6 linked regions of the Oryzias latipes genome follow. Each later gene encodes a partner of the first gene's protein in a complex. Links are inferred from orthologs where the notes say so. Each region holds a gene or a part of one and is shown on either strand. Other genes may lie near its edges.

Region 1 (4,026 bases):
AAAAAAAAAAACAGCATTCAGGAAGCAGGGTGTACCAAGAATAAGGAAAAGTGGACACACCATTTATCAGCATTGGTTAGGAACCACTCACCTTGTGCTTTCAGAATGGCCGCTTTGCCTCTTCCTGCTCCAGAACCCTGGTTCTTGTTCTTCATACTCTTTAACATTGGAGCGTTCTTTAACATGTCTGGTAAGATCAGAAAGCGGATCTTGCTGCCACGAATGTACACTTGTTCCAGCTGGGCAACCCGCCCGTCACGATAGGTTACTGTGATGTTGGACATCTGTTGGGACATAGAAATAAATGGTTCCGGTCTTAGATTCGTAAAATGGCTTGATACACGTTTACAGTGTTCAATGGAATGCAGGTTAACATTTTAAGTTATCTGTTAAACTTGGCAATGCAGTTCTCTATTTGAAAACACATTTGTAGATACTTCATTTAATCCCTTAAAATAATTTCTAACAACCTTTTTGATTTGTCATTTGATTAATAAGAAATCTACAATTATTAACAGAATATACGTTTTAGAATATTTAGCGTTTTGTTAAAGCCTTCACACTTATCTTTAGAGTACTTTTAAGACACACTGAGCTTTATCCACCAAAATTTCTGCTTTTAAATGAAATAAACAGATTTGGAGTCTATTAAACTTTTACTGCACTAATGAAGCTTGAAAAGACTATCAGCATTGACAGGATGTTTGGGAAATATATTTAGTTACAGTACTCAATACTTTAAGAAAAATGGCTTTAAATATTTCAAGGACAAATGTGCATATATGACCAGATAACTATACAGATTTTTTTAGGGGGGGGGGGTGAATTGGGTCAGTTAATAGAAAGAACACAACTTAAATTTACAAAATAAAATAAAATTGTTATTCCAGATTTGTTTGTTACAGATGTGCAACCAAAACTAGAGACCCAAAAAAAACAACAAAAAAACAAAGGTCATAAAGGCAACCTGTCCCAAAACTTTAAAATAATCCAACATAATTTCCTTTTTCCACACAGGGCCGTTTGGTTTCTTAGTGCTGTGTTTCTATTTACTTCCAACGGTAATGATAAATCATTTATGGTTTTTGTTTTTCCCTACAGGTCACTGACCTGATGCATATTAGTAAAAGGGAGTATGTTTTGTTGACTGTAAAAGCACCATTGATCTCATTGAGTAATTAAGTCACTACATCAATCAATCATACGTTACACACGTGTGGTTGGCTGAGATTTTGAGGGACAAAGAAACCGGGAGAGATTTTTCTTCGAAGAGGAGTAACCGATTTGTCTTTCGCTACAAACATGTTGAACAACTGTTTTTTAAAAAAAAAAAAGAAAGAAAGAAAGTATAACATGAGTTTGTCTCACCGCAATTGTTTTACTAAAATACTACATTCTCAACAAACCTACTCAAATAGTTCTACATCACCTGCTTGTTATAATTGGTAGATTCTAGACTTATTCCTGTGAAAGCAAAAAAAACAAATGTGCAAGTCTAAATAAGAGTTGGTGCAATAAACTGCATTAAAATACCTTTGGCATTTTTGTTTCCAAAAAGTATGTGAAATAAAAGGGGGGGGGGGCAGCCAACAATAAAATGTCCATTAAAAAAACATTCTTGTGTTCTTTACACATTTAAAATGTTCTTCTCAAGTGTGGTACAGTGAGTTGAACTCTAAATAGAAATTTACGGCATGCTTTTTTTTTTTGGGGGGGGGACGTTACTCCATACAAACCTGGCAGTTCATGTTGTCTTCAGCCTCGATCAGTTTGCCCCTGTAAACCTCTCCAGTGTTGGTTTCACAGGTCACAATGTGTCCCTCTGCTTCATGCAGGACCTTGATTGGTACGCCAATGGACATTTTGGAAACGGTCTTTCTAGGCTATTAAATTAAAAAAAAAGACAAAACATACGGTAAAGGGCACTGAAACATACAGTATTATCACAAAACCTGACGTACGGTATTGTCTTTGTTTACAGAAGGCTACTGAAAGTCTACAACATGCAATTCATTCATCCAATTTTATGATTATTATGTTTGCATGTGTCTGGCTTGGAAGTAATATTTACTGTTAGAACATACTTAAGACTTGTTTTGTGCTGTAAATAAGGTAATTTACACCCACAAAAAAAAACGTACAAAAAAGGCACTTAAGTATAACAATGTTTCCATTATCATTAGCTAAGCTACCTCGTTAGTGATTTATTTCTTGTACTGTTTATCAAGACGGTATTATTTCTACGTAGAGAAATCAAGTGCTGCAGAAAACTCTTCAGTTTTGGATTACACAGTTTAATCAGGTAAATGTTCGGGATTACTTTTAAAACGTAGTAACGCTAATGGCTAGCTTAGCTAGCCACGTTAGCTAACTAGCCACCAACTACTGGCCTCAAGCGAAACAAAACATTAATTAAAAACTGTGGGAAGTAAACCACCACAATATATTTAACGTTAATGCTTCACACCCAACATTGTTGGGACTCAAACGTGCAAATTATTTTAGACACAAGCTAAATATCAGGCATGGATGGAGCGATGGACATATTCGAAACTTAGCAAATGGGAGGCAATGTAGACAAAAAGCGATAATTCTGAATCACATTCACAGCTAAATACCAACCACAATATAATACTTGCTAGCTTTAGTAGCTAGGGTTTAAAGTCTTACTTCAACTCCCTTTGAATTCTTGAATTGTTGTTCTTTTTAGCGGCTCAGCAACGTGGGCTAGTCGTTGAGCTTGGCGTTTGAGCCTTTTTTCCGCTTACCCACAATGCACCAACAAAGCGTTTGTTTCCTGTGGCGCTTTTCGCCGTGCATTATGGGACATGTAGTTGATTCTGATTACCTAAACCAGGTGTGTTAGGTCAAACAGAATGTAGACTCACTTGAGTCAGCCAGTTACCAGAAAGATGGTTAAGGAGAAACAACAACAACAATAATAATAATAAGTGTTATTATTTTTTGTACTATTATTATTCTTTTTTAGTAGTATTGGAAGTAGTAGTAATAGTAAATAAAAACTAATTTTCATCAAAAGGCCTCAGAGAGGTCCAGGAATACCAATCATTATAGGACATTGGACTTTCAAACAAAAATAGAAATCATGAAACGTTAACAGATTAAAAATGTACACAATAAAAAATGACTTGTTTATTTGTCCTGAATTAGATTAACATGAATTTAATTTGATGATTACTCATTGGAAAAAATCAACTATAATGGAACACTGGATAGATATTTGTAAAAATATTTTATTGATTCCTTGCAGTGGTGCATGTTTTTTTTCCATAATCCTCCTCACTATGTTTTTTCTCTTTTCCTTATTTGTTTTATGTGAAAGATTTGAATCCCGAACACGTGTATAGCTGGCACATATGCTTGTCAAAACATCCCAGCAAGAAGAGATTATGAAAATGAAACGACTCAATCAATTCAAATGGATTTTTTTCATCGACCACAGAGAGCTATAAACATTTACTCTACATAGTTTTTGAATGAACAGACTTTACGTATCATATACATACCCTTGCGTGTTTATTTATGTGGACTAGTCTTTTTTACCACTTCAGTGAGACGCATAAACATTGCTTAATGCGGGGCTTTCTCACGCTGGAAGAGGTTTCTAATGAGGAAAGACAAAGCATAATGGGATAATAAAAGACATCACCAAATGAACCATCATTTGATTTCCATTGCAACAGGGTCATTGACTGGCGTCAGCAGACAGGCTACTCTGTAAACACCTGTACCTGTGCAGCGTGTGGTCATGTGTATCTACTTTACGTGTCCATGAGGGTTTCAGGCGTTTAATGCATGCTAACCTGACTCTGAACGTAGTTCCAGTCCAGCCATGAGCAGTGACATTTGCAGAGATCAAACAAGCACTTGTTTTGGGTGGATGCTAACAGGCCTGTTTACACTGATGCCTTTGAATCATGTCACTTAGATGTTGATCTGGGTTGTCAGCTTTTGTTGCCAGGCAATTATCCAATTGCTGATCAAGCAAGCAAAAGGATTTACTTA
Region 2 (4,115 bases), on another chromosome or scaffold:
TAGGAGGAGAAATATTTGAAAAGTTGTTTATTGAAGGGGATTTTATTTAACCCCATGAAGGGTAAATCAACATCTCCATATACTCTCTACACAACTTTCAGTCGTTTTCTGCAAACGTCAGGTGGAAAGGTTCTCGTCAATCATCGACTCGCTGGTGCTTCAACGCAACGTTGAAGGAAACTTCCAGCTTCAATATTTGCAAAATGTTGTGATAGACCGACTGTTCAATACTTCCTTTTGTTGTTTGATATAGTTCCAGAAGTAAGCATGTTCGATTAGACAAGAGATGTTTATGCTTCAGCCTCTACGCTTGATTGGTGGAGAAAGTGTTTAAAATAAGAGCAGCTGGCAAAAGTAATTGGGCAAAAACGTCGCAAGAATTGGTTGAATTCATGTGAACTGGTGTGATTGCAAAATCCAAGAGGATCTGATGGAACAACAAAGAAGTCCTCGATCTAAAATAGAAGTACTGTTTATGATTCAGGTAAATTGCTACCTGATATATTGTGCAGGAGCGAGTTTGTCGGCGGCCCGGACAGGCATGGCTGCAGCAATCTTTTGCGACACCTGCTTTTGTAGAGCGGCCCGAGTCTTCTCAGTCAACTGCAAAGAGCATCCATCCCCAACCATGAGAAACTACACATGCTTACAGTAATTAAAAACAATAAGTAAGGGCACGCTGAAAGACAATTTCACCAAATCGGATGAATGAATCCTGAATGTCTGCACGAGCCCGAGCAGCAAATTACCTCTTCTACAGCCTCCTCATCCGGCTTCTGAAGGCCTGAAGCGTCTTCATTAAGAACTTCTTTTGGGAGCAGATCAGTGTACTTGCTGTAAATCACCTACAAAAATCAAGAAGAAAATTATAGAAATAATCTCACTCAAAATTTACCAATATGGCAAAACATGCAGACTCATAGAATAGGATAGATTGTGTAAAGCTGCGTTTACACTAAATGCCATTTGCGCATTAGGAGTGTCCAGTTTTAATGTTAGCTTAACGTAAAGAAGCAATCAGATTTGATTTTGGAGCTGCACACCAGTCTGGCAGCCGCGCGCTTTTTTGGCTGTTGCGGTGCGTCAAGAGTTCAAAAATATGAACTTCGGCAAACAAGATGCGCCGCGTCAACCAATCAGGGACTCCTCTTCGGACCGGGATGCGTTGAAGATGTTATAAGTGGATCAAGACACACAAAAAAAGGTCCTGAATGCAGAACAGAAAGTCGTCAAACTGGGTTTCCCTTTCAGGAGCAGATGTGGGAGTCTCTGGATGATCTCATTGATCAAGACATGGAGACGTGCCTATCGACATTTTTGTAGAGCTCTTCAAAGTAGAAAAACGTGATATCTCAACATCATCCCTGTCTGCAGCAATGAGGCTAAAACCGTTTGGCGGTAGCTCCTCCCACATGCGTCTGGAGTGTCGTGTATGAACACCAATAGAAATGTAAGGATCAAACATGGTTTTTACAAAAAACAAAACACTATAGTGTGCATTTTTTTTAAATGACAACCAAACCAAGCTGTATTACCAAAGTTAAGATTAGGTCCCACATTTCTGTGGAGATTCTGTCATCCAGAACATCGGTTCTTCAGCTGGACTTTTAGAGGTCAATTTAGAATCTGTCAAGTCATATAATGAACCTCTCATGTTAGTTTGATAAAGTTCATCGTGTCTTGTATTATTAACTGACTTGTTGGTTCTTTTTTATGTGAAAAAATACAAATAAAACACAGCCGTGTCTGATAGGAATAGAACCAAGAAGTCAGAACCTCTCATGTATTTGTGGACACTAAGAGCAAGAATAGGGTTTTAAAGCTCCTCACTGACTGCCAGAAAGAGGAAAAGCTCAAGTACCTTATCCTTAGCCTGTCCTTGTCTGGCAATGGCATCATATTTGATTTTCCCTTCTGCGTCCACTTGAACTGCCAGGGCGTTAGAGGTCTTCTTCTTCCTGCCCATCTCCAGAGGAAACTGGGCCACGTGAATCTCTGGAAAAGCCCCGCCATCTCCGAAGTCCTAGGAACACCCAGAATGTTTTGTAGAAATGCGAAACTAGGCAGTGAACCAATGTGTAATCCATTGAAGTGCACCTCAAATGCACGCGGAACCCAGCCTTTTCTGTGTCCGTAAGGAGGGGGTTCTTTACGGGACGCAACCAGCGCAGTGGAATAGGATTTCTGGGTCCGAATCCGCTCTTCTGCTTCCAGCTGGTCCTGAGACAGCTGGGTCGGTGCCGGTAAATAGCTGTGCAAAACAGGTCCACATAATGCAGTTTAAAGACAACTTAGCAAGTCGCTGTAAACGCGGATCAGCGTGAAACGACGTCAAAGTAGCAGGAACAAAAACTGCAAACCTGAAACGTTAATGCAGGTAAAGAGGTTTATTTAACACGATATCAAATACATGTGTTTAAGTAATAGATTAAACAAACAAGCTAACTTCAGAAACGGTCGTTTGAGGGTACAAGCTAATGCTAACCCCGTCTCACTAGTTAGCACTAGCTAGCATTAGCTAACATCATAAACACAGAAAAGAGCGAAACGTTTAAAGTTTAACTAAATATTTAACGTTTAATATTAAACCAAATAAATGTATAACAAACACAGACAGAAACTCCGATCGCATTTTGTGCCTTATTCGCCAAAAGGCCTCACTTAGAGACTTACCTCGTCAGAGACATTTTCCTTTCTTCCTGAACTATGAAGTGAGCATGCGCAAGAACAGGCCGTAAGCGAAAAAGAGAAGAAGGTTGCCAGGTTTGACAATTCTAAGCTCTAATACATATCAAACCATGTCCAGTTCGATAAAAACAAAATAAAATAAAAGTACATACTCGTTTTACAACATTTTATTTGTTATGTTAACTTGTTAAGTTAATTACATAATAAAAGCCAATGCACACAAAAAACAGGCTTTCACCCACCCAATGAAAAAAACACGAAACTTTATACATACACTTGTGCTTCCCACATTTTTTTCTAATTATTAAAAAACCCTATATGTTGTATTGGCCAATCATCTATTCATCTATAAAATAAAGTTATTAAATATTTAAAATAATTGAAATAACACAGCCTTTATATTTTCTATGCATACAAATTTGGACTTGCTTTACTTCTGACGGCCGCTTATCCAAATTCCTTTAAAAATAAATTACACCCTGTACCAAATAAGATCTTCTGGCTGCATCATAACTTATAAACTATAAGAACTTTGTCTCTGAACAGCAACTACACAGTGTTGTGGCGCAGAGGATCAGAAAAAGAGCTTTAAGGCTTATTTGAAAAAAACAAAACAAAAAACACTCAGACAGTACACTACAACTCTTATTATTATTTTGTTCCAAACTTCACATTTATAATTTCTTCAAATCATTCCCTTTTTTTTTTTAAACCTTAGAGCCACAATGGATGGACATGTGGCTCCATAGCCTCAGGTTGCAGATCCCTGCCCTGGACTCAGCAGGCCAGGTTCCCAATGAAGAAACACGGGAGTCAAAGGTAAAGTTAAGAAGTTAAAGCAACATTTAAATTACACAAAAAACAACAATAGAAAAATAATAATTTTATAAAAAAACAAGGATGACAGAATAAAAGAATGATATGCTTGAATAAAAAAAATGCATAAATGTTTTTATAAATTACATAAGGATACTTCAGATACATATTTTGTTACTTCAAAAGAGGATTTTTTTTTGGTGGATGGAAACTTCCTCCATTTCCTTTGGATTGTTTTCATATTTAATAAAAAGTATCATTCATATTCAGGAAGAGACTCAGACTGCCAGAGAACTTTTGCTGAAACAGAAGGAAATCCCTTAGGATCTAATAGAAAACAGGTAGCCACCTTATTAAGTCCACTCATGGATAAGTGATTTCATATCCTGCTTTCATGCAGATGTTGCGAGTCTAAATCCTTTTTCTGTCAATCTTAAAGCCTAAATGTATATTAAAGCCTGTGATCTGTCAATAAGGTTTTTCTAAGATATCTAGCAGTTTGCACTGCTGTCGTGCAGAGACACGAATCCTCAAAATCAATGAAATTCTTTGCCTTATTTTTATTTCCCACCAGCGAATGTTGTCTCTTGATTTCATTAAGTTTGTTCCTC
Region 3 (4,028 bases), on another chromosome or scaffold:
TACACCAACTAAACCAGAGCAGATTTCACACAAAAAAATTTAAAAAAAATTTAAAAAATGTAATCTGATAAAAGCAGCTGCACTAAGTGTCAAAAACGTGACACCAATGTAGAAAAGAGAAATTTGTGAAGTGAAAAAGCCCCCCACTTCCAATAACACAATATGTTTTACAAAAAAGATTCTTATTTTAAAGATATATTTTACAAAGACATTTATTTAGATTTCTTTAATTTATTTTAAATAGTAATTGCACTCCAGGTTGTAGAAGATACTGGTCAAAAACTGAAATTATGCTAAATAATCTACTAATTAAAAACATTAGTGTCTCATTACAAATGATTACTAATTATAAATTAAAAATGCTGTTACCTGCAGTCTTACACTTATATAATTAAATGTTAGTATTTTTTGTGGTGCAAAGAAAGAGTATGTGTCTGTGATGCCTTGCTTTGGAAATAAAAAGGGCTACAAAATAAAAATAGTTGTATTTTTCCTATTACTAAAGATATTTAAAGACAAAATTTCCTGTTAATGAAATTATGGTTTGGCTCCAATGTTAATTTGTACTTAAGGACAGTACAGACATGTTTTCAGTGTTTTTCTTAAACTTGATTACAATCAAACGTCAGCGTCATTACGCAAGGACAACAATCTCCAACGTTAAACACATAAAAAAATATTCTGAATATATAGACTAAAGTCTATATTTGCGTTATAACTTTCCTATTGTTTTATACAAAATAAGAAAATAGATCACCTGTTTATGTAAACAGTGGCAAGTCCAACAATGATGCTCCCGAACAGAATAGGTTTCGTGAGCCTTTTAGCTGCAGAGAGCTTGTGAGGCTTCATTGCTGCAGAACTTTAAATCAGAAGGTTCACGGCATAGAATCCAAACAGCAACAGAAACGTGAGTTTGTTTTCAGCTGACCTTCCTGCGCGTGAGTTAGTTAGCTGAAGGGACGTTGGAGCGCCTCAACTTCCGGTCCAGCACTGACGTCTATGTCGACAAAGAAGTACCGACTTCCGTTTGAGAATTGAATTTCGTAAAGTAATTTGCTTTTATCGTCTATGACAAAAAGTAATCATTTAATTAAATTAAATCAAAGTGATTTATTACCGAAACATTATAGGCCTAATTATTAAAAATCACAACGTTTTAAGTGATAAAATAAATTGACAGCTCTTTTTTATGTAAGAACAGCTTAATTCTACTTTTGGGTTTCATTTTTAATTGTTATTCTGTTGCGTTAACAGTTCATCCAGTCTTCAGAAGAAGAAAAAAAAAGAGTCACGAAACAATATCCCGGAACCACTGTCCAAATTCTAATTTAAGCCGGACGTATTTGAAAGACGGACAAAATGAACGAACTACTGAAACCAAATGCATAAATGAGGATACTATTTCAAATGTATTTTATTTTTTTGTTTTAATCGCGCGTTTGTCTTCTTAAAAACACAATATAAGATACTGAATGATGAAACGGAACTTTTCACCCGAAACCTCTGACCGGTTTGAATATTTACAGGCTCTTGTCACAGAGTTTCAGGATAGTGACAGTGAAGGTAAAAACACAAATAGCTCGCAGATTCATTTAGAAAAACTAAGAATTATTGCTAGTTTACAACAAATTCTTTGAAATTAAATTGTTAATGCATAAACATTGTAATGAAAGCATGTCTTACTTATATCAATCCATGATAGTCACTTTATATATATATATATATATATATATATATATATATATATATATATATATATATATATATATATATATATATATATATATATAATTATTTTTTTATTTTTATTTATTTTATTATATATATATATATATAAACTACAAAAATTTAATTTTTAAAATCTGAATGCTTAGAAACAGGACAGATTATTCAGGAAAAAAACAATGCATTTATCTTTTAAGATTTTTTTTTTTAAATAATTATGCTTTAGTAATTCTGACGATCATGTTTGAATACTAAATTAAAAATGCATAATGACGTTTTTTAAAAATCAATAAAACCAAAATTTAACAAATGCCATTTAATGATTTATGCTGATAGACTTTTGCAGCCTTTTATATGCAATATATAAAGGATCAAACTACATATTATTGTCCGTCAATAATTTTTTAGGAATGCAGGTCTTTAGTCTTATTTTTAATGTTGAGGTGTAAAAAAGCGCCCTCTGGTGGATTAAATTTATCTTGCTTTTGGTCCTTGTTCCCGTTTCAGTCATTAATGTCCAGTATATGTAATTTAATTGAATTTGAATCTGATTCTGTGTTTTTTATTTATGTTCTGTTGTCGTTAGAGGCAAAGGAGCAGGTTTTGGCAAACCTCGCCAACTTTGCTTACGACCCAAAGAACACAGAGTATCTGCGACAGCTGCAAGTGACCGACCTGTTTCTGGATATGTTGACTGAGAAGAACGAGAACTTTATTGAGTTTGGAATGGGTGAATCTTTTTAGATTATCATTTGGGTTTTTTTGTACCATAAATGCAGTGAAAAACATTTTTTTTGGTCTAAATTTTCTCAGGTGGGCTCTGTAACCTCAGTATGGACCCAGACTGCAGGGACCTCATCCTGGACAGTGACGGCATCAGCTTAATCACAAACTGTCTGTCAAACCAGAGGGAGGAGACAGTGCTATCAGCAATTACTACCCTTATGAACCTTGTGACTCCAGCTTCACAATCTCAGCTCACAGAGCCAGGCATCTTGCAGTGCATGCTGCGTTTCTCTCTTGCTGAGAGTCCCCGGCTGCACAACCTAGCTGCTGTGTTCCTGCAGGACTGCTGCACCAAGGATCAGGTCAGGCAGGCCGAGCAGCAGATGCAGGGACAGCAGATGGCTGTTGGGATCCCACTACCCAAAGACTAAAGACTTTGCTTCACAGTCAAGTGGAAACAAACAGTGACCGTTTTGGTTTTATGATTGTTTAATTTCTGGTGTTTTCAGCAGATGTTGAACCGATCTGGAGGATTTCCTTTGAACAAAATCCACCCTAAAGTTGGTTATGAAGAGAGGAAAATTAAGCTGCTTGTCCAGGTCTTGCACCTCCTCTCATTTGCAGCTGGAGTTTGCACAGGACTCATGTCTTCACTGGATCAGAATCTGAATATTAAGATGGTTTTTGTATGTTTTTAAGCACAAGTACATTTATAAAAGTAATTTGAAATTTGCTCAAAACAGGCTTCCAGCAAAATGAGTATATTTGTTCTCATGGAAAAATGGTAAAGATGTGTTTTACTAGACAGAAAATAATTCCTTTCAAATGTTGGACACCAACTGAAAAGGTCAGATACTCATCAAAGGAAAAATGAGGGAAAGTTTGTCTGTAGTCGTATTAGATTTAAAAAAAAAAGACATATAGAAACCCAAGTTATCCTGCTTTCATGGGAGGAATACGTTTCTACCAACTGTCACTAATCAGCAGAAATACCAAACCTCATGGAAGCCTAAGTTTGTGGCTTTCTTAGTCTGGATAATTCAGGTGTCTTTTATTGAAATAAAAAAAATCTACAGAAGTTCTGCCTTCGTGTGAGTGTTTGGCTCTCCTCCCTTTAGTCCTGACTTGGGCGGCATGATATGAGGAAAATTTGCAACATTGGTGATCAATATTGCGATGACAATATACTTGCTACATATCAACAAATAGCAAAAACAGCTGCATTTTAATTTTACAACAACAAGGGTTAACCCTTGTGCTATCCTAGACATTTTAACGTTGGGAGTTGGGTCATCTAGACCCACTAGACAGTGCGCTAAACCTTTTTTCTTCAATGATTTGTGATCTTCACTGGTGTCAATGGATTACATGACATCTTTCCACCTTTATCCACATTTGTCATGGTAGGGAGAACACGTCGATGTAAGGGTGGGGTCATCTAAGATATCACAAGGGTTTCGTAAAATGTAAATAGTTTCAATTATTTACACTCCAAATGACCCTCGTCTACCTATGAGGCGAGCATCTAACATAAAAGGGCTCCATCCGATTGGTCAAATGCACAAAGGGATTTA
Region 4 (4,013 bases), on another chromosome or scaffold:
CTCCTAGCATCCGGGAGGGACCGTCCAGGGCGCCGGCAGCGCCGGCAGGACCCACGTTCAGAGAAGAACTGACCGGATGGTTTTGTCGTCGGCTGCAGAGAGGATTTGCTTGTCGTCGTTGCACCACAGAGCCTTCTTGATGGCTGCGCCGTGACCTGCGATCTCCTGTGGGGCTGATGAACACAGGGAGGGGGGAGGGGGGGTCACATGATGCCGTGTTTAGCAGAAGTACCTTCAAACTGCATCTCACCTGCGTCGGTGTTGCTGAGGTCGAAAATGCGCAGCAGCTTGTCGTTTCCCGCCGTCAGAAGGTGGTTGCTGTCCTAACAGACACAAGCACAGATTTACTGTCCTCCATCTGGCTTGATGAATGTTCACCAGGAGCTTTATCTGTCTCATGTTTGTAAAATCAAAGCAGCAGGAACACGGAGCACTTTGTGACTACAATCATTGTATAGATGGTGTCCCAGCGTTAAGCACTTCCTCTTTACGGTTCAGTTTGCTGTGATGTTTGATGAGCTAAAGTTGTTACGTTTGGCCCACTATTACAGTTTGGTGCCACTCCAATCATCTTGTGATTTATTTTCAAAGTGTTCTAATGATGATGATGATGCGGTTTTTGGTCATTTTCCAGGACATAGTTTCTGCAGGGCGGCAGGACTTCATCAGAAATGAGCCTCTTGGTTGTGGTGTGGAGTAAGCCGTCCAGTCCTGATCCAGATTCCAGCTCAGACCAGGAACACAAAGACGTTCATGGATCTATTTGTCTGCAGGTGGATGATCAGAATGGAGCAGAGCAGGAAGCTTTAGACTCCCCAGCCTATTTCCTACGTCACATATATGACATTTTTGTGTCTGCTCCTGATTTGAAAAATTAAACATCAGAAATGTTATTTTGAGCTTAATTTTCTGTCTATATGTTCTCCGTCGTGAGAAAAATTACCACCATTTTAACAGGACGGGGTCTTTAACCCACATCGGTTCTACCAAAACCCGCATACGCAGACACGGACAAAGAAAGCAGAGACGCCTGGCGCCACACTGACCTGAGTGAAGTTCACAGACTTGACGATGTGTTTGTGCGCCAGAGACAGGACCTCGTCTCCGCTGACCGAGTCCCACACCTTCCTGCAGAAAACAGACACGGTCAGAAGCGTGTGACAGGGGAACATAGAGGGACGGTCAGTGTTGGGGGGCAACGGATTACAAAGCAGCAACATGACCCCACCCTTACATCGACGTGTTCTCCCTACGATGACAAAGGTGGAAAGATTTCATGTAATCCATGGACACCAGTGAAGATCACAAATCATTGAAGAAAAAAGGTTCAGAGCACTGTCTAGTGGGTCTAGATGACCCAACTTCCAGGGCTAACGTGCCTCCAAGGCACACTGGAAAATCAAGCTAGTTTTCAGGGTAGAACAAAGTCAGGGTGCCTGAAAATAAAAAGCAACTCTACTGTCAGGAGTTTCTTTTCTACTGGAAAGACGTTTAGACTCCCAGAAAAAAAATAAGCCAACTTCTTAAAAAAAAATCCACAGAAACTAGTTATCTTGGAGAAAAAGAAACCGCTTCTTTCCTAGATAAAACCCTGATTCCAGGGGAGGGGGGGAAAACAAAAGCTTTTTTCCTAGGTAAGAAGCCAGTGAAATAAAAAGTTTCCTGGAAAAAAAGGCTCATTTTCTGGGGGAAATTCTTCATTTCCAGCAGGTAGAACAGTGCATTTCCTGGAGGAAAGTAGTTTGTTTCCTACTATTAAAACAACTTTCCTGGAGGAAAAGGCTGCTTTCCCAGTAGGAAAGAAGCGTGTTTTTCCTTGGGAAAACAGGCAGTTTCCCAAATCTACTCACGCTGTGAAGTCGGCGGCGGCGGTGGCGGCTTTGGTGGCGTCCATGTTCAGAGTGGCCCCCCAAACAGCACCTTTGTGACCAAGAAACGTTCCGATCCAGTCTCCTGTGTCTCCTTGGCGCAACATGGGCTTGCCATCTTTAACAGAAGGGATTGGATCAGAACCAGAGGCGGGTAGTTACATTTACTCAGTTACTTTTTTTTTGCCAAAGTAACTGTTGGGCTTGAACCAAGTCCTGAGTTTTGTTACATAATCATTAATTACTAGCTTTTCCTAGAGTTTGATGAGGAATCCCTGAGGAGCCTTACTTGATACTCTCGTTACTTTCATGGATTACAGTTACCAGTAAGACCCACAACTTCCCTACAGACAGAGTTCTGCTCAGAAATCAGACCATTCATCAGAACCGGATCCGCCAGGTCTGTTCTACGAGTTTTCTAGGATCGTTTTAAGTCAGAACCGACACACGACCAGATCGGGTTCTGCCTGCACAGACAGAGGGGCTCGCTAACGGCCGAGCCACCGGAACCCCGCGCCGGCTAACGGCCTGCTGGAGCTCACCCTTGCAGGCGCTGATGAGGAAGTATCCGAAAGGCGTGATTCCGCTGAAAGCCAGGTCCACCACGGGTCGGGTGTGACCCGAACAGGTGAGGGGGGTCTGCCTCATGGCCATGGTTGGTGGTCTTCAGCCGCCGCCGGAACCGTCGCGCTCGCGGAAGGAGGCGGCGAACAAACGGGGCCCGCTAACGAACCGGGAGCGGAGGAGCGGCTGTCGGGTAACGGGGAGCAGTCGAGCGGGTGCGGGTGTGAGGAGCGGGGGTCGGTGTCCTTCAGGGTTTGGCCCCCCCAGAGAAGAAACGGCCTCGCGCTAATAGCTACAACATTGCAACTAACTAGCAACGTGCGTAACTGCAGTTACGATGACGACACAAAACCGCGAGACACGACACACTTCCGGGGAATTTCACAATAAAATCCGTCTGTCAGGTGTTTTCGTTTTTTTTTTATGAAAGTAACGGAGAAAAACGTTGTTTTTTGTTTTTTTTATTGAATTTTATAAAGAAAATGTTACAATAGATGGTTCATTTCTAAGAATTACTCAATTTTCTAACAGGGAAGCTCTTTTTTATTAGCAGGACATTACGTACATTAAACTAACTAACTAACTAACTAACTAACTAACTAACTAACTAACTAACTAACTAACTAACTAACTAACTAACTAACTAACTAACTAACTAACTAACTAACTAACTAACTAACTAACTAAATAATAATAATAATAAAAAAAAACTAATTCAGTTGTTTTAAATGTCAAATAATTATATGGAATTATTAAGCACCCAGAGACTCAAACGTTTAAGAGTCTGTTATATAATGTAGGGATTTTATATATCTGCATTAATGAATATAGTTTTACTGCTGCAAACCAGTACCTATACTGTAATTTATTGATATTGTTTACAGGAAAAGTTTCGCTTACAGTTGTTCTCAATTGCTAAAACACTAAACCCTATTATTGTCTGAACCAAATGCCCAGTTGCCTGAACCCACTGATTGCATCGAACGTTCCTTTGGCCGAACCATAAGTACTTCTCACCTGTTTAGACACGACTTGGCAACACATTTTCATTGTGATACACCCGTGCTGCATAAAGGTGTGCACAGGTGACAAAAGTCAAACACAAAGAAAGCACAGGTGTCCCCACTTGAACACAACAACTCAAAACTGATCACACTTGTGGGAGAACATATAAAGTAAGCCAGTTCAGAGAGCACTGGTTTGTGAGGCCCTACAATGGACAGAAATCTGAGAGGAAGAGTTCATGGTGGTTGAGGTGGTCAGCAAAGACAAAGAACAGTAACATCTCATGAAATCAGAGCTACTGGGATCGACAAAGTGCTTGTCCATGGGATTAGCATGAGGGAGGCTGGACAACAGGTACAACCAAACGCCAGTAGATTCACTGTGTCCACCATGATCCGAAGATTTAGGGTAAAGAACAGGTAAAATGCCTTTTATTGGCATTATAAGTAAATGTTGCCAGAAATTACTGTACCACTGAACTAATGCACTGTAATATTGTAATATTGTAGTGGAGGGTTGGTATAACAGTTTGTAGGCCTAGAATACCGTGTATTCTTTTTGTAACTACACAAGTCA
Region 5 (3,961 bases), about 16 Mb from region 1:
AACAAATATCAGCAAAAACACCCAATGGTTTAATTTCATTTCACTTAAATTTAAGTATAAGGTGGAGACATTAAATGCAGACATCAAATAGACAGTGGAATTCATTAGAAGCCTGCTCTGAATGGATTTGATGAATTTTGACCAAATTTAGTAGAATTTTTCCTTTTATATTTTAATATCAATTTTTCCATCTTAAGAATTGCATATAATAATTTGATGACACACGCCTTTCTTGACACACAAGGTCACTGTACATAGCAGTAAAAACAAGAATAAAAATACATTTAGAAAAATAGGATAAAAAAACAATGTGAGAAAGCTGGAGAAAAAAAGAGGACCGGAGAAAACGAGAGGAGGCGTCAACTTGGAGGAGCTCAGAGGTAAACAGGGGCCAGGTTATGGAGGGATTTGAAGGTGAGGAAGAGGAGGAGTCTGAATTGAATTGGACGCCAGTGCAATTGCTGGAGGAAGGGGGGGGGGGGGGGGTGATCAAAGGTTGGAGTTCTGGAGACAATATGGGCAGTGGAATTCTGGACCAGATGCAGTTTATTACGGATTTTGTTCAGGAGACCAAAAAGGAGCAACTCAAGTGTGAATCAAGACAGAAGTGGACAGTGAGAACAAGGCGGAGACGATGAATGTTCATAACAATTATTATTATAAAGCCATCCCCACAACACGATAACGGCCCGCAGCCATTGAGCCGCATCGCCTCCACCGCTCACATGTTTATATTTACTCTGGAGATGAGTTTGGAAATTGTGTCGTAAACCCGCAGGTCAGAAGAAAATGTAGCCGTCAACAGAGTAGAAGTGAACCCAATCTCTGCACCTGGGGGGTATTCCAGAAGTCATGTTTAAACTCCCCTGACTTTAACCCTGAACTCTGGCTGAAATCCACCTGAACTTGCTTACTCTGGGTATGTCGGTTCCAAAAGTCCGGATACGAGTTAGCGTAATTACGTTCCACTTGGTAACCCTGGGTAAATGCACGTGCACGGCATGTACATAAAGACATTCTCAATGGACCGCCGATTTCTGGAGTCACCATGGAAACGCGCACTAGTGGTGCTAAATAAACTCATCCGCCTCTTCCTCCCTCTCACTCATGGTGCAGAAAGAATTAAACATAACAGGACAAAATAACTAGACAAAACACAGTAAAACAGCTAAACTAAACACATTTGGTCAAAAACCCACACTTAAACCCAAATCCGTCCAGACAGGCAAAGGGAATGGTATCCCACAATTCCTTGCGGTGCAGATCTAACAGCAGCACCAAAGTTACACCTACTTCATTGAATCAATTTGAATGAAAGTAAAATAAATGTCTGATAACTACGTGTTATTTTTAAGCTGACTGAACTCCAAAAAAGATTCATCTTAACTTAAGCAAATAATTAAGTTAGATGAAAGTATAAAGTTTCTCTTTCCAACATCCATATGTGGTCTTATCATCCTCTCATGGTGGAAAAAGTATTATCTGAGCTTCTTCATCCACTAAATCATCTTCAAATGGACACGCCATGCTGCTTCACATCTCTGAAAAACAAACTAACCTTCAACTAAACCTGCTCCTGACCAGGTTATGTTCAGAGCATGAGTTGCTATGGCAACTTGACCTACCCTGAAACATACCTCCATTTCTGGAACAGAAAGCTGAGGTTATCCACTTCCTTAGCCTCAAACTTACCGTGGGAGCTAGCATAACCTGCTTTCTGGAATACCCCCCTGGTGGTTTCAAATCATCTGAAACGATGCCTTGAAAATGTACATAACGGGTCTGCTTTTCATAATTACCCGGGACAGGACCCTCCGACCCTCTCGATTGACGCCTGGCCTCCTTCTCTAAAAGACGATCACTGACTTGATCTGCACTGATTTTCACCCTTATGAGAATGTTATTTTCGATTTCTATCATTTTAATCAGGACAAAAAGGATTCATATTTTAATAAAAATATTAATTTTTTGCTAAATTCTATATTCAGCTAAGTCCCCAACAGCAAACCCGAAGTGATACTTAGAAATAAAATGTAAACATGACATAAATTCTTCACATCTGTTAGCATCAATAAGCTCTATCATATTCAGTTATTCTATTATTTTCTTCTCTAGGAATCCATCATTTTATGTTAACATGTGTACGTTTGACTCCCTTTGTTTGCATTTGTCTACGAAATGAATAAAGTTAATTAAAAACAAATAAAGTTAAATGAAAAACAAAAACACAATATTCCTTGTTAGCCGGCTGAACTTCTCTGTTTCTTTCAGATGCTCCTCCCCTATTTGGAGATTTTGGTACGGTCGCCTTTTTAAACGATGAAGCATTTTAGTCGACAGTAGTTTTAATCTTCTATCCTTGGTAATTTGATGTTTTATACCTGTCCTATCGTAAATGCCAGCCTATTCTTACGTCTTTTCTTTGTTTTGCGTTTCTTGAGGCAAACGGACATTCAGTCTGTACTAATGACGTCATCTACTAAACACTGAACATTTCTTCCCTCCATCACCCTTTTTGCAGGCGAAGCTGCACAACAGTTAGAACCTCCAACCAATTTCTGCAGTGGAACCGGTTCCGATCCACGCGGGGGAATCTGTGGCTGATTGAAAGCGCGTGCGGCGGAGGAATAAATTAGATGCTGTGAGCGCGTGCTAGTCCTTAACTGTTTTTGCTGCTACAGCTTCGTTACTTTTTTCGTAAACTCACCTTAATCCGACAAAGCTGCCTCCACGCGCTAAATGATCCGGATATATGTGCTGTAACCGCTTCCGGGTCAACCTACTACTTCCGGTTCACCGGAAAAACCTGGATACGCGCGTCTTGTGTCTCAACAACAGGTCGTGGAGCTCCGCGAGCGCGCGTTTTACCCACTCGTTCAAGGTAAGCTCACTGGTAAAAGCGCGTGACGAACCTAATTTGTTGCTAACCAGAAGTAAAACTGCAGATCACGTGGTGTTTGTTTATTTGCTGAATGGATGTCCAGAAAGGAGGTCAAACGTCCGGAGCTCATCTCCAGGTCTTGGGTTCCTTGCAGACGGAGCAGAGCTCGTGGCTTTCCTCCGAATCAGAGATTCTGTACAGCTGGCTGTCATGACAGAAACAGGTGGTTGTCAACCAAAACCTTACACAAACTGATCCGTGTGACCCAGAGCATCCTCATTCTTTTAAGACCCTTTGACTGAACTGGAACCAGTGGAGCATCAAACTAGAACCTTTCACGTTTCGTGGTTAGGTGTGTCAGATAATCAGCAAAGTACGTCCACTTTGCTCCCTAGGGGGCGCTGTTTTGGCTGCTGGATTCAGACCTGAGGTTCAGTGGAGAAATGGTATGGTTCTTATTGCTGGGTGTAGTCACAGGGCGTCTTCAATTCCAGAATAGCCCAAACCCACAGAACCAGAGATGAGCTTAAGTTCTAGTGTCCCATAATTTATGTAAAAGAAACAGAGCTTGTTCTTTAAAATGATATTTTGGAGTAGCTTGTGACTTTGAGGTCAAACACTGTAGACTTCTGACCCCCTCTTTGTGGGAGTCTGAAGATCTGATCCAACCAGAGGTTCCTGAGTAAACCCCCACAGAGACCAGGGGGGTATTCCAGAAGTCATGTTTAAACTCCCCTGACTTTAACCCTGAACTCTGGCTGAAATCCACCTGAACTTGCTTACTCTGGGTATGTCGGTTCCAACAGACCGGATATGAGTTAGCATAATTACGCTCCACTTGGTAACCCTGGGTTAATGCACGTGCACAGCAGGTACATAAAAACATTCTCAATGGATCGCCGATTTCTGGAGTCACCATGGAAACGTGTGGAGAAAAAAAGAGAGAGAGCTGTACTTCAGTAAGACGGATTCGGACATTTAAATGACGGCGTATGAAGATTATACGTCCATCAATAAAGTAACACGGCTGCATCATCAGCAAAAGAGAGTTTCTGCTTGGAGAAAAGAACAGACAAAGTA
Region 6 (4,014 bases), on another chromosome or scaffold:
TAATTGGATATTACCTACTGCAGCTACTGAGTACTGAGTTAGATTCTTCTGCTGCAAAGGTGCACAGCACTGCCATCTACCGCTCAGAGGGTGGAACTGATACAGTGCCTGCTGTTCCTGATCATGAGGCCCTCCCAGGACATAGAGAGTCTCTGTAGCTTTGGTCCGCCTCAAAGACCTGCCTACTGACCAAGAGGCTGGGAAGTGATCATTCAGCTTGCTGATGAGCCTTGCTCGAGGGTCAGAACCTTTCATTCTGGTCAGAAGTTGGGTAATAAATGCTAAGGAGAGAGACTCTGGTCTCACCAGCTCTATTAGCTCTAAAAAATGTTCTTCTCGTTTAGGATCAAACGAAACCCAGCGCAGGGTGGCTTCAAGCGCCACATCGTCTTTGTGGAGAGCCAGATCATCACTGGCAAGTAGATCAGCAATACTTTCCTTGGAAAGGGACAGAAAATCCTCTTCAGCTGAGACCGCAGGGAAGTGTGTGAGCACAACCTGCCGGGCTGCAGAATAAAGCTGAGAGCAGCCCAGTTGCCATGCATAGGCCATCATTCCTAAACAATTCGTGAGGTGTAGCTCGCGCTCCAAGAACTTGCAACACAGCAGTCTGGCTTTTTCTAGTTGTAGATAGTTTGCAGTCTCAAGAATCCCAAGAACATTTTCATGGTCCAAAGTCAGACGGCGAGTCTTGCTGTACTCTATCAAAACTTTGAAAGACTGTCGACCCACACCTTTGATCTCAACAAGCTTTTTGCGGCTTTCCACACCACAGCCAAAGAACAGAGCTCTGAAGTATGGACTCTGAAGGGCCAGGTGCTCCCGACAGACGTAAAAGTTCTCCTCCTCTACCCGTAGGACAGCATCTGGAATAAAATCCGGCCCAGGGTCTTCCACATGAAAAGCATATCCATCTTCGTCCATTGTGTTATCTAACTCATGGAAAAGATTGATTGAAGCTCTGAAACTTCACTTCAGTCACTGTAAAGAGTAAAACAAGTCTACTGCTTTGTCCTGTTTCTGGATCACAACTACGGTAGGTTCCCAACACACCAGCTGGTGTGTACTTTGTTTATTAATAGACGCCCCTGCCCGGAGAATGCAGTTAAGAAAGAGGTCAACTTTGAAAAGTAAAAGTTTTTTTAAAAATTACTATTAAAATACAATTATTTAGTAAAACTAAAGCTAAGAACATTTTTTTATTTTATTTTTTGAGTGCAAATAACTTCAGATGACGTCAGATGCGAGTTTACGGCGATGTGATTGGTGCTATTAAATTGTATCTGGGGTCAAAGTTTAACTTCCGGGTCACACTTCAAACATGGCGGTGAGTGCGAAATAATTTCGTTTAATTTTCTCTCTTATTGTTCACCGAACATTTTCTATTTGGTGTTAGTCAGTAATAGAATACTTGAGGAAATGAGAATAACATTTCTGAAGTAACGGCCGTTTTATTTGTGAAATTGTTACTGCCTTAGTCAGTGATGCTAAGCTAATGCTAGGCTAAGGGTCTGCGCCTTAAACTGTGCATTAATCTTGGAAACTGACATTTCTTTACAGGATAAAGAAAAGAAAAAGAAGGAGAGCATCTTTGACTTGTCCAAATACATCGACAAGCCAATTCGTGTGAAGTTTCAAGGAGGACGGGAGGGTAGGTGGCTTGTCGAAAGATTGTAACTTGTGGTGACCAGAATATTCACAGTGATGTCAGAATATAATTATTTACTTTGTTTATTCCCTCTTTAGCCAGCGGAGTTCTAAAAGGGTTCGATCCTCTATTGAACCTGGTGTTGGACGGTACAATTGAGTACATGCGTGGTAAGTGAAAACTCACGTGTACCCACTTTTCTTAATGGAGAACTAATAATTAAGTAGTTAGGAGTTATTTAGTCCATGGTTTACTGATACTGTTATGTGGACTCAGGCTGTGAGGTTCAAACTTTCTAATTCTTTTTCATTTCCAAAAATACTGTAACTCTTCTTTCAGTTAGAATATCAGCTTCACTCTTCAAACTGTTTTTTTAAGTAAATCAATTGTATTGATCTCCATTTAAAAAATGTAATATTTACTCATCAAAGCCGCAAGATTTTCTTTTTTTTTTTTAAACGATTTTCTCGTGCCTTCTCAGACAGGAGAAGCCAATCTGTTCGCCTTTATAATATTTACAATTTTTTGTATTTAAAGTTCTATTTTTCTTCAATTTATGAAAGTGACTATTCCCACATAATTTTCTAAATACGTAGAGCCGGTGCAGAACTTCTTTCTTGGCCTCACAGACCTGGAGGAATGGTTAGGGTTGGGTAAAACCACTAATGACTCTGATAAATGCATCTTTGCTGAACTTAATACGTGAATTTCCATCTGTTCTTGTGCAGTTTTTACTCGTAAATAAGTGTGAAAAACATCAGCGTTAATTTAATTCATCAGTTCTACAAAAGTGTGTATTTCTTAAAAACTAAAGCTTTAATAAAAATTGAAAAAAGTTAAATTGGAAATTAAAATGAGACTGAACTTTTTCAATAAACATTGATTTATTGTGCTGTAGTCTAAGACAGGTATTTTAGGACTTAATGTTTTGTTTTTAATCAAACTTTGAACTGCGTTTTCTAATCACAATTCCCCATCTTGAAAAAATGTCCTGTTTGTCATCATGAATGCATCATGTCTGCATCATGTCTCTAAAGATTCATAAAGAAGGTTATTCATATTTTTCAGAAAAACCATCAACAAGATGGACTTTTGTTTTCCAAATACATAACATGACCTCATTATTTCTTACTATGATGAGCATTCATGATGAAGACACATTAAAGTCGAGAGAAAATTAACACTAGCCCACTCTCTAATGCCGGATTAACAATGATTAATAAAGTAAACACATTTTAAACGTATATATAATTTGGCTGCATTAAAATGTCACAAAGAGCAGTTGGAGCTACTTTGATCGCCATGGCGAAAAACTGTTTTTTGTAAGAATGTTTTTTCTTCTAATTCTCCTTTCTAAATATTGTAACTTTTCTTTCAGTAAGAATTTCACCTTCACTCTTCAAACTAAGTAAATTAATTGTATTGATCTCCAGTTAAAAACTATAATAATAATTCATCAAACTCGCGTTTAATAACGATTAAAAACTTGGCGTGTTTTTCCGTAAACCAAAGTTTTTATCTCCCATTTGCATAGGTTCTAATAGGTCATTATCATATTCTGAAGCATTTCCTTAACATTAAGAGTCCACTAGCTAGAAAAAAATGTTTTTGTGTTTGAACTAATAACTCTTTGCATTGTAATATTGTTTTCCTCTAGTATCGGATCAACTGTGGACTCTTGTTCTGTTAAGCATTTGTCACATTTACTGACGGCAATAAAAATCTCTTTAAATGTACAAAAACTGCAACATAAAGATGAACATCCTCTGGCATTTACAATCCCTTTGTGTGTCTGTGTGCAGATCCAGACGACCAGCTGAAGCTGACAGAAGACACCAGGCAGCTGGGGCTGGTGGTCTGCAGAGGAACCTCCGTCGTCCTGATCTGTCCTCAGGACGGCATGGAGGCCATACCCAACCCCTTCATACAGCAGCAAGACGGCTAAATCGCCCATGAAGTGTTAGACCTTTGTTTTGTTTCTATTTTTGTTGTTTTTGTTTTAACCAACCTAATGGAAGAAAGCTGGAGAATCAGCAGTAAAAATGACTTTTGAATGCACTTCCCTTTTGTTTGTGGTGTCCAGACGTTGGAACCTCTGTTCTAAAGAGCTCATGTGCTACGGAAGTGCAAACCTTTTCATTTTTATGCAGGAACAACGTGAGCTTTTTACTGTTTGTTTTTGATAAGAAAAATAAAAGGAAAACCTATGCTGGAGTTTGTTTTTATCTTTGGGTGCAGTCGCTCCTTGCAGTGATCTGAGCTGGATCACATCTTCCTTTTCACACCCTGAGTGAGCTTTTGTCAGTTTGAAGGGAGTTTTTGTGTTTGGAATGGGAAAGCTTAGGCACACAGGGAGAAATCTGCGG

Evidence for each region. The genes of interacting proteins can lie anywhere in the genome.
Region 2: snrpd3 (region 1) and snw1 share a complex: the UniProt entries of both Homo sapiens proteins name them as parts of the minor spliceosome. The link is inferred for Oryzias latipes from reciprocal best matches to the Homo sapiens genes SNRPD3 and SNW1.
Region 3: snrpd3 (region 1) and armc7 share a complex: the UniProt entries of both Homo sapiens proteins name them as parts of the minor spliceosome. The link is inferred for Oryzias latipes from reciprocal best matches to the Homo sapiens genes SNRPD3 and ARMC7.
Region 4: snrpd3 (region 1) and strap share a complex: the UniProt entries of both Homo sapiens proteins name them as parts of the SMN-Sm complex. The link is inferred for Oryzias latipes from reciprocal best matches to the Homo sapiens genes SNRPD3 and STRAP.
Region 5: snrpd3 (region 1) and prpf4 share a complex: the UniProt entries of both Homo sapiens proteins name them as parts of the U4/U6-U5 tri-snRNP complex. The link is inferred for Oryzias latipes from reciprocal best matches to the Homo sapiens genes SNRPD3 and PRPF4.
Region 6: snrpd3 (region 1) and lsm7 share a complex: the UniProt entries of both Homo sapiens proteins name them as parts of the U4/U6-U5 tri-snRNP complex. The link is inferred for Oryzias latipes from reciprocal best matches to the Homo sapiens genes SNRPD3 and LSM7.

Annotation. Positions count from the first base shown.
Region 1 is NC_019870.2:16,128,909-16,132,934, forward strand, and holds the start of snrpd3 (small nuclear ribonucleoprotein Sm D3), read right to left. Parts: upstream 2,801-4,026; 5' UTR 2,671-2,800; intron 1,884-2,670; 5' UTR 1,863-1,883; coding exon 1,737-1,862; intron 285-1,736; coding exon 92-284; intron 1-91. UniProt on the Homo sapiens protein: Plays a role in pre-mRNA splicing as a core component of the spliceosomal U1, U2, U4 and U5 small nuclear ribonucleoproteins (snRNPs), the building blocks of the spliceosome.
Region 2 is NC_019882.2:3,678,808-3,682,922, forward strand, and holds the start of snw1 (SNW domain-containing protein 1), read right to left. Parts: upstream 2,801-4,115; 5' UTR 2,688-2,800; coding exon 2,674-2,687; intron 2,252-2,673; coding exon 2,098-2,251; intron 2,024-2,097; coding exon 1,862-2,023; intron 846-1,861; coding exon 750-845; intron 604-749; coding exon 497-603; intron 1-496. UniProt on the Homo sapiens protein: Involved in pre-mRNA splicing as component of the spliceosome. As a component of the minor spliceosome, involved in the splicing of U12-type introns in pre-mRNAs.
Region 3 is NC_019877.2:19,373,166-19,377,193, forward strand, and holds armc7 (armadillo repeat-containing protein 7), read left to right. Parts: upstream 1-1,228; 5' UTR 1,229-1,475; coding exon 1,476-1,566; intron 1,567-2,314; coding exon 2,315-2,458; intron 2,459-2,541; coding exon 2,542-2,885; 3' UTR 2,886-3,532; downstream 3,533-4,028. UniProt on the Homo sapiens protein: As a component of the minor spliceosome, involved in the splicing of U12-type introns in pre-mRNAs.
Region 4 is NC_019881.2:4,536,177-4,540,189, reverse strand, and holds the start of strap (serine-threonine kinase receptor-associated protein), read right to left. Parts: upstream 2,801-4,013; 5' UTR 2,523-2,800; coding exon 2,411-2,522; intron 1,987-2,410; coding exon 1,851-1,986; intron 1,129-1,850; coding exon 1,047-1,128; intron 324-1,046; coding exon 251-323; intron 174-250; coding exon 74-173; intron 1-73. UniProt on the Homo sapiens protein: The SMN complex catalyzes the assembly of small nuclear ribonucleoproteins (snRNPs), the building blocks of the spliceosome, and thereby plays an important role in the splicing of cellular pre-mRNAs.
Region 5 is NC_019870.2:4,234-8,194, reverse strand, and holds the start of prpf4 (U4/U6 small nuclear ribonucleoprotein Prp4), read right to left. Parts: upstream 2,801-3,961; 5' UTR 2,708-2,800; intron 1-2,707. UniProt on the Homo sapiens protein: Plays a role in pre-mRNA splicing as component of the U4/U6-U5 tri-snRNP complex that is involved in spliceosome assembly, and as component of the precatalytic spliceosome (spliceosome B complex).
Region 6 is NC_019862.2:8,272,683-8,276,696, reverse strand, and holds lsm7 (U6 snRNA-associated Sm-like protein LSm7), read left to right. Parts: upstream 1-1,214; 5' UTR 1,215-1,321; coding exon 1,322-1,327; intron 1,328-1,560; coding exon 1,561-1,651; intron 1,652-1,746; coding exon 1,747-1,818; intron 1,819-3,450; coding exon 3,451-3,593; 3' UTR 3,594-3,862; downstream 3,863-4,014. Other genes in the region: kelch-like protein 24, read right to left, coding at 15-924. UniProt on the Homo sapiens protein: Plays a role in pre-mRNA splicing as component of the U4/U6-U5 tri-snRNP complex that is involved in spliceosome assembly, and as component of the precatalytic spliceosome (spliceosome B complex).